Linked DNA regions of Ovis aries. The protein of the gene in region 2 purifies or fractionates together with the protein of the main gene of each other region. This does not show direct contact. Links are inferred from orthologs where the notes say so. Each region holds a gene or a part of one and is shown on either strand. Other genes may lie near its edges.

Region 1 (4,080 bases), on a different chromosome or scaffold from region 2:
ACCTGAGAAGCCCCATTAAAATCACAGTAGATGCTTAAACGATTGGCATTAGTATGCAGAATTAATGCACAAATAAACTGTTTCAGTGACACTCTTTGGCATCTGGTAAAAAGGTAAGCTTCTAGGCCCTGAAGCAGGGCCTTTGCCCTCACTGAGGAGGTTTCAGCGTCAGCTCTAGTGGTTGTTTCTGCAGGTGGCACCTCTTGAAGGCAGGGATGGTTATTTGCAGAAGAAACTCTTCATAAATACCTAAATGACCCTAGGTGATATAGTGTTGAGGCCAGATGTGGAGTTAGGAGATGTTAGGTTTCAATAGGTGATTATTAAGCTCCACAGTTGTGGGACTTCAGGTTCCTGTTTCCTCAAGAATGAGATTGAGCGAGCCACTCCCTAAGGCCCAGGAGCTGCTAGCTCAGTCCCCTTCATCCCAATCTTGGTTTGGCCATTACACTCCAGGGGCCCTGAGCCCCCTCCTGAAGTCCAGCTGCTCAGCAGACCTACCCGTTGGCAGGCGGCAGAGAACACAGACATCTTTTAAGAAAACACAGAAATCCTCTGCTGTCTCAGTCACCTGGGATCTCATGTTTGAAAGGTAGAAGACGGAGGGAAAGCCTAGTCTTAACAGTCCCTGAGTGTCCAGAGGCAAGTGCTACGTGCTATGGTTTCTCCAGATGGGATTTTTTCCCCCCAGTTCCAAATGGACAATACCAGTTCCCCTGGTATTGTTTCCCGGGGCTAACCTAGCTTGCTTACCTGACGCAAACAAGCCTGGCCTGCCCCTCTCCTTCCGCGAATCAGGTCGGGTGGGCGGACAGGAGGGCAGAACTGTCAGAGAGAGGTCCCAATGTGAAGTCCACTAGCTTGCTTGGGCATTAGTTTCCCCGGAGGTAAGGGATGGAGTGAGGGGGCGTCGTTCAGTTTCCTCCCTCTCTTCCCTACAGCGCCCACAAAGGGGCAAGGGCCAGACACGTGGGCTGGCGTGGGGGAGGCGGAGGTTACACCAAGGCGGAGGTGCAAATGGCCGGGGGCGGGGCCTTATTTGCATGGACGGCGTTCGGCCGCCAATCGGGATAGGAGGAGCGACAGCCCGCGCGTCTTTTGGGGCGGACTGACAGCCCCGGGGCCCTATGGGAGGCGGGTCCTGCGGCCCGCGGGGGCGGGACTGCGCCGGGCGCTGCCCGGGGGGACTCTGGCCGCTTCGCGGGCGCTGCCAGTCTCCGGCGGCGGCGTCCGGCGCGCTGGCGGCCTGCTGGGCGGGCTGAGGGGCTGGCGGCGCGCGGCTGAGGCAGAGCGACAGAACGGGCGAGCCGCCACGGCGACAGGTACCGGCGCCATGGCCACGGGGGGGATGAGGCGGGGTGGCCGCCCGGCCCCGGGAGCCGCGTTCCCTCCTTCGCGGTCCTGCCGCCGCTGTGCCGCTTCCTCACGCGGCGCCCCAGCCCGGGAACCGCGCTGCGGGGCGGGCGGCGCCGAGACGCCTCGGAGCGGGCGCGCTGGAGGCGCCCAGGCTCCCCCGCGGGAATCCTCTGCGCCCCGCCGGGCGAGCGGGGCCGGGGCTCCCTTCGCCTCCGGGAGGCGCGGAGCCGGGCGGCCGCGGGAGCGGCTCCCCGCCCCTGCCGCGCTCTCCCTTGGGAAGACGAGGCCGGTCGCGCCCCGCTGGTCCTCACTCGGCTTTTTTTTTTTTTTTTGGTTTCCCGCCCTGGGTAACAGGTCCCGGCTCCGGCTCCTGTCTCGGCGGCCCCCGACTCGCCCGCGGCCCGGCGCCCGAGAGCCAGGCGGCCCGTGAGCCGCGGCCGCCGCGAGCGGGAGAGAAACTTCGGTCTCCCGGGCCCGGGCGGCGGGAGAAGTGGGCCGGCGGTGAGCCGTGCGCCGGGACGCATCGCGGCCGCGATGGAGCCTCGCTCACCTGGCGGGCCCGCCGAGGGGAGGGATAACGGAGCGTCCCGCCGCAGCCGCGGTCCCCGGCTTTCGGTCTGCGCTCCCGGGGCGGTGGGTGTGGATATACGCGTTCCCCGTCTTTCACCTGCCGCCCCGGGAGGGGGACCAGTGACTGGGAACACGGCCTCCCCGCCCTCGACTGCCGGTAAGAGGGGACCGGGGCAGCGCCGTTCCAACAGGTGATTATCCCAAGTGCCAGGTGAGAGCCACTGAAAAGTTGTTTCAGGGTTCGGTAATTCAGTTCTCCGGGGGCTTTGTAACGCCTTCTCCCATAATGATTTTTTTTTTTTTAAGGTGTGCTGACCGCAGTATAGGAGTCAAAAACTAGTATTGCTTGGGGTGCGGGGTGGGTGGGGAAGGTGGGGAGTGTCGCCAGCGGGTAGATTGCCTTCTTTCCATTGACTTGGCCGGGAGGAACATCTTAGTTTAAAAATCGGTTTCTGCAGTGGTGGTGAAAGCATGCATAGTAAGGTACAAGTTGTAAATGGAGAATGCAGAGCTCGAGATATCCTTCGCTGTGGTTCAGGACAGAGTGTACAACGTTTGGCCGCCATTCAGTAAATTCTGCATGAAGCAGTTTGAGCTCGTGGTTTTGGATTTACTTTACAAGAGTGGAATACGGCTTAGCTTTGAATGGGAGCTTTCTTTGCCTCTCTGAGGGCACACAGGAGTGTTTATTTTCATTGTCTTCTCGTTTTGTTAGATTATAGACGAGGGAAAAGTTGAGGCATATTTTGGTTCAGTATTTTTAATAGTCTATGGGAATTCTCCTTCACCCATTCCCCCCTCCCCCCGCCCCGCATAAGAGTATTTATTTTAAAATTCGAGGGTAGAGTTGAACAACTTTTTATTCTTGTGGAAGTTTTTATGTTATACTTCCACTTATTTTCTGTTTCTCTCTCTCTCCCGGCTGACCTCACTTAAAATCTACAGTTATGGCCCTGACCAATTTTAGAAAAAATTTAAAAATAATATATAATTATTCTAAAATATATTATGAAGGTTTAGATAACTCAGATTTTTCTTCTTATGTGTCTTTTTTTAAAATGTCTGTGCTGGATATGATTTGAATAAGAGATGTAAGGAACTTCTTAAGGACAGTTACACTTTTGATTTAATTATGTTACTTTATTAGTGCTTCATTGAATGGTTATTAGTCACATGTTAATTAGTAACACCTTTGAAAGGTGCACTCTAACCGATAGGCTAGTTGTGACTGTTCGGGATTTTTTTTTTTAATCAAAGATAGTTTTCATAAAAATTGTTTTGTTTTCTTGAAAACAACAGGCTTATCTGCTGTGAGTTCTTTGTCTTTCAAACATGACCATTTTAAAATATTGGATTAGGAACTAGTGAAGTCTTCAATTTTGTTTATTCTTGCATTGGAAAAAGAACATATTTCGGTTGTTTTGTTTCCTAAAGTCTTAGCTTAGAACAATCAGTCTAGAGAAGGAAGAACATTCTCTTTCTATAGTTGTAGAAGAAATTATTACTGTTGAAAGCTGAGTTGGCTTTTCGATGCTTAGTGAAGGTAGATTGAACAGTGACTTGTTCAGAGTGAGTTTTATTCTGTATAAGTAGTTCTGAGGAATCTTATGAGACTAGGGTTATGGGTGGTCTATATAATTGTTTTAAGTGTATAGGAGTATATTAGTCTAACTATTGTGTATAATTAGAAGTTTTATAGTTTTTATCTTGTGATGCTTAAATGTATCACATACCATAAATTAAAGCTATATTTCATAGTTTAATTTACAAAAGCATGTTTTGGGAACTTTAACTGTAAAAGTGCCTTTTAATTAAAATACTGTTTTCAAATTCAATTTTTACATGTTTCAATTACTGATTTCTGTCCACTTTTAACTTGTGGTAGACCGTATCGTAAAATGGTCAACCACATTATAGCTTCAAAATTAAATATAAGTTGAATTCTTACATCTACGTAATAAATGTTGGGAGTATTTTTAAGTCACTTACCCTCAGGTGTGGCTCCTTTTGAATTTGGGGGTGGGCAAATATTTTTGATTAAACAAAGCTACAGAAAAACAGGGACACATGTGAAACAAGCTACGTTTGAGGCTAAATCACACGATACTGTTAGATAGTAATACTTGTTTATTTAACAGTAAAATGCGTGCTGTA
Region 2 (3,618 bases):
GGGTTGGGAACTGAGAGGACCCGTTGGTGCACCCTATCTGCAAAGGAGGCCCTTAATAAAGGCTCATTGCCATGAACAATGAAAACATAGACTGGCACTGCCAGGCCAAGAGAGGGCACGCTTAGAAGACATGGTGACATCATGTCACACGTGGTGACAGCCACTGTTCTCAGGGTGCCCAAACTGGCCTCAGTGCTGCTCTCTCTTCCTCAATTTTTCTTTCCAGTTTCCCTGGTAGTTAGTTGTGCTTTCCCCATCTTCTTGTCCACGTCCTGTCTGTCAGTCTGTATCTAAACCTGTTTCTGCACACTGCCCTCCCCCAAGCGCGCGTGCACGCGTGCACACACACACACACACACACACACACACACAATCTGCCCCCCTTCCCCTGTCTCTTGGTGCTGGCCCTTTCATCTTCTCCCTTGGGGATTCGAGATGTCGCTGCAGGAAGTGCTTGTCGGCCGAGGCAGCAGCAGCAGAGCCCTGTGGCTTTGACAAACCTCATTTAATTGGGAGGAAGCCAGGAGAATTTGAAAGAACTGAAACATCCACGAAACTCCTTTTATCAGGCATAATTTAAACTCTGCATGGAAAAACCCCTATATGTATAAAGAAAAGTCAACTTCCCTCCTGCTGTGAGCACTCCTCATCTCCCCCCTCAGCGCAGGCAGGCTCCTGCAAGATTCCATCTTTTCATTTTTCTAAAAGTGTCAAAGTAGATTTGGGCTCTGTGGCTGGGTGAACAGAGGAGGAATACAGATGGGTCCCTCTCCTGTGCCCGCGTGTGTACGCACACACAGGCACACACACGTACAATGGAGCCCCTCTGTTGGCGACTTTGCTTCAGATGACCAGGAATAATCAAAACCCGAGTTTCTAACAAACACATCCCGTTTGCACAGCGATTGTTTCCTGCTAATTACTCTAAAGGAAAAGCTGGCACCCAGAAAACTCTGAAGGTCCTCAGTAGTTCTCAGGACCTAGAATAATAAATCCTGGAGGAGGGTTTATTTATATTTATTTCTTTATCTATGTCTCTCCATGGGAGATATGTTGTTAAGTGGAGAGAAAGGGTGTGAATGTGTGTGTGCGCACCCTCAGTGTGTATATTTGCGTGAAGTGGGAGTTAGAAAAGTCCCATTCTCAAGAGGAGAAGGCTAAGAAGGGGGAATCTTGGGGCTCAGACTGGGAAGAGGGTATTAAGATAGGAGTGGGGGATGGGGATTAAGCTTGGGAGGAGGTACCAAGAAGGGAGTAAGAATTGTTAAGTCGCCTGGAATGTCTCTTAGTCTACCCATATGCCAAACCGTGTCCCTCCCCTTCTTCCAAATTCCTGTCCGGAGTCACCTCCAGTCTCATCTGTCTCACTGGAGTTATTCTACAGCGGTTCCTCCGAGGACTGCCTTCAGTGCACACGTACTCTCTGAACATCTGTAGCTGATTATGCACAGACTTTAGCTGTTTAGATATGATTTGTGCTAATATGTGTACGAGGGTGTCCTGTTTCCTCTTCCTCACCCTCTTTTCCTCCCACTTCATATGCTCCTTGAGGTCAAGGACAAGCCTCCTTTTTCCCTCAAATGTTATAGCACTTAATATGTTCTTGACACTTAATGGCAACTTAATAAATACTGATGATCGACTCTTCTTACAGGGTTAAGTATGACATTAACCTTGGTTGTATGATTACGGTTATTTTTAGAGATTCTAAATGACTCACTTTAATAATAAAATACCTCGAGAAACCCCAAATTAAAAGATTTGGACGGATGCAAAATCACATCCCAGGTATGGAGCTGTGCCTGCAAATCCTGGAGACATCAGTCAGACCCCATATCTGAGCCTCTTGGACAGTAGTTCGTGACCACACCCCATCCCAGTTCCCTCCTCTCAGTCAGAGCCCCTACAACCTTCCTTAGCTTTCTTTTCTCTGGCTCAGGACTTCTAAAAACTGTTTTCACTTGAATGGTGGGTGTTTTGAAAGCAACCCCACCTAAGGAGGGTCCCAGGCAAACAGCCAGGGCCGTGGTTGCAGTACCCACAACCTCCGCACAGCCCTTCCTTGCCACATTCTGAGAAACATGAGGAGCGCTCCAGCCACATGATCCCTCAGCAGTTTTCAGATTTGGAGGATGACTTCAGGCCTGGGCAGCAAGGCTGATTTCTGAGTAACTTGTGCTTTCCGGGCGCATCTAGCCTGGGAGGATGCTCCCCTCTCACCATGCCCCACCCGCACTTCCTCGGGCAGCATCAGATTACCAATCAAGGCAGGCCCAGCTCTCCTCTCCTGTTGTATCCATGTCACCTATCATCTTACTCAACGGAAAGAGAAAAGGGGATTGTTAGAAACTTAGGTTTGGCTTCTCCTGGCAGATGCTAGGGAAAGCAAACTGAAAGGCAACTTTCATCTCTTCTACTTTCTAAGTGTGTGTATAGAGGAAATGTTTGGATGGTTACAAGGAGGCCTGTGTCACCTCAACCCTCAGCTTTTGAGTTTTAGAAAACCACAAACAAAACTTGGGCAAGATTTTGTCCCATCTTGCTTTTCCCAGCTCTAAGCATGTTTCTGGTTGCAAATTCTATGCTTCTCCAGTGCTTCAAGAAAACAGACACCAAGACTTATGTGTGTCCATGTATACCCCACCCCCAGCCACCACACACATACACACACACACTCATTCGCTCACCATCTGGAAGCTGGTGCAGCTGAGCTGGCAGGACACTGAAATAATTGTGGACCAACGCATCCTGGGCTGAGACACGGTCTCTCGGAAAGCCCTTCAGCATTTGGGAGGCCAGATCTTCTGCTTCAGGAGCCCTGCCCAGCCTGGAAAAGTGAGAGAGACAGAGAATTTCTCCAGAGGCCTCATTTCTGAAAAGTCAAGAGGGAAAGAAGAAAAGTAAAGAAAAGGAGATGGCTGGAAAAATTTCAGATAGAATTTTCCTGGGACTAGTAAAATTGATGGAAATGGAAAAATAACCCCCACACTGAAACTGTTACCTGTCCCGTGACTAAGATGAAGGGAAAACTTCAGCATTCCATCATTCAGCCCCCAGCCCACCCCTCCACCATGGCTCTGGGTACCCTGTATACATAAAAGACCTGGAAATTGTAATTATAGAAACGGAAATATATAATTAAGGATTCTTTCTTTGAGGGATACAGCAGCCCCTTGCAAGCAGAAAAGCCCAGTTGGAAATAGGCTCCAACGGTGGTGAGCACAGAATTCTGGAATGGGAAGAAGGAGAGAAGAGATCCTGGAAGGTGAAACTTGAGTGGGAAAAAAGCCTTGTTTACAGCATTTTTGAAGCTCAGCTCCCAGGGCTTTCTCTAAGATGCTCTATTGGTTTCCCTGGAGATAGAGCATAAGCAAGAAAGATAATTAAATACTCAAATTACAGTAAGGACAAATCCTCAAGTTGACCTTATGCTGAATTATAAATTTGGAGTAGAGCAAATCCATTAGTTGAGCAACTACTATGTAGGTGGTTAGATCTGGGAGATACAGGAATGCTATCTTCTGGCAGCTTAATCTAGTAGAGGAATCAGACACTAATTAAATGGTCATACAGATGCATAAACACAACTGTGAAGAAGGTCTAGATACTTGACTTAGG

The links.
Region 1: the proteins of CDK15 (region 2) and FKBP5 purify together in Homo sapiens (affinity purification with mass spectrometry; 3 studies listed by BioGRID and IntAct, counting the BioPlex papers as one, with this or other methods). This does not show direct contact. The link is inferred for Ovis aries from reciprocal best matches to the Homo sapiens genes CDK15 and FKBP5.

What each region holds. Positions count from the first base shown.
Region 1 is NC_056073.1:9,818,909-9,822,988, reverse strand, and holds the start of FKBP5 (peptidyl-prolyl cis-trans isomerase FKBP5), read left to right. Parts: upstream 1-1,212; 5' UTR 1,213-1,322; intron 1,323-4,080. UniProt on the Homo sapiens protein: Immunophilin protein with PPIase and co-chaperone activities. Component of unligated steroid receptors heterocomplexes through interaction with heat-shock protein 90 (HSP90).
Region 2 is NC_056055.1:204,182,035-204,185,652, reverse strand, and holds part of CDK15 (cyclin-dependent kinase 15), read right to left. Parts: intron 2,828-3,618; coding exon 2,688-2,827; intron 1-2,687. UniProt on the Homo sapiens protein: Serine/threonine-protein kinase that acts like an antiapoptotic protein that counters TRAIL/TNFSF10-induced apoptosis by inducing phosphorylation of BIRC5 at 'Thr-34'.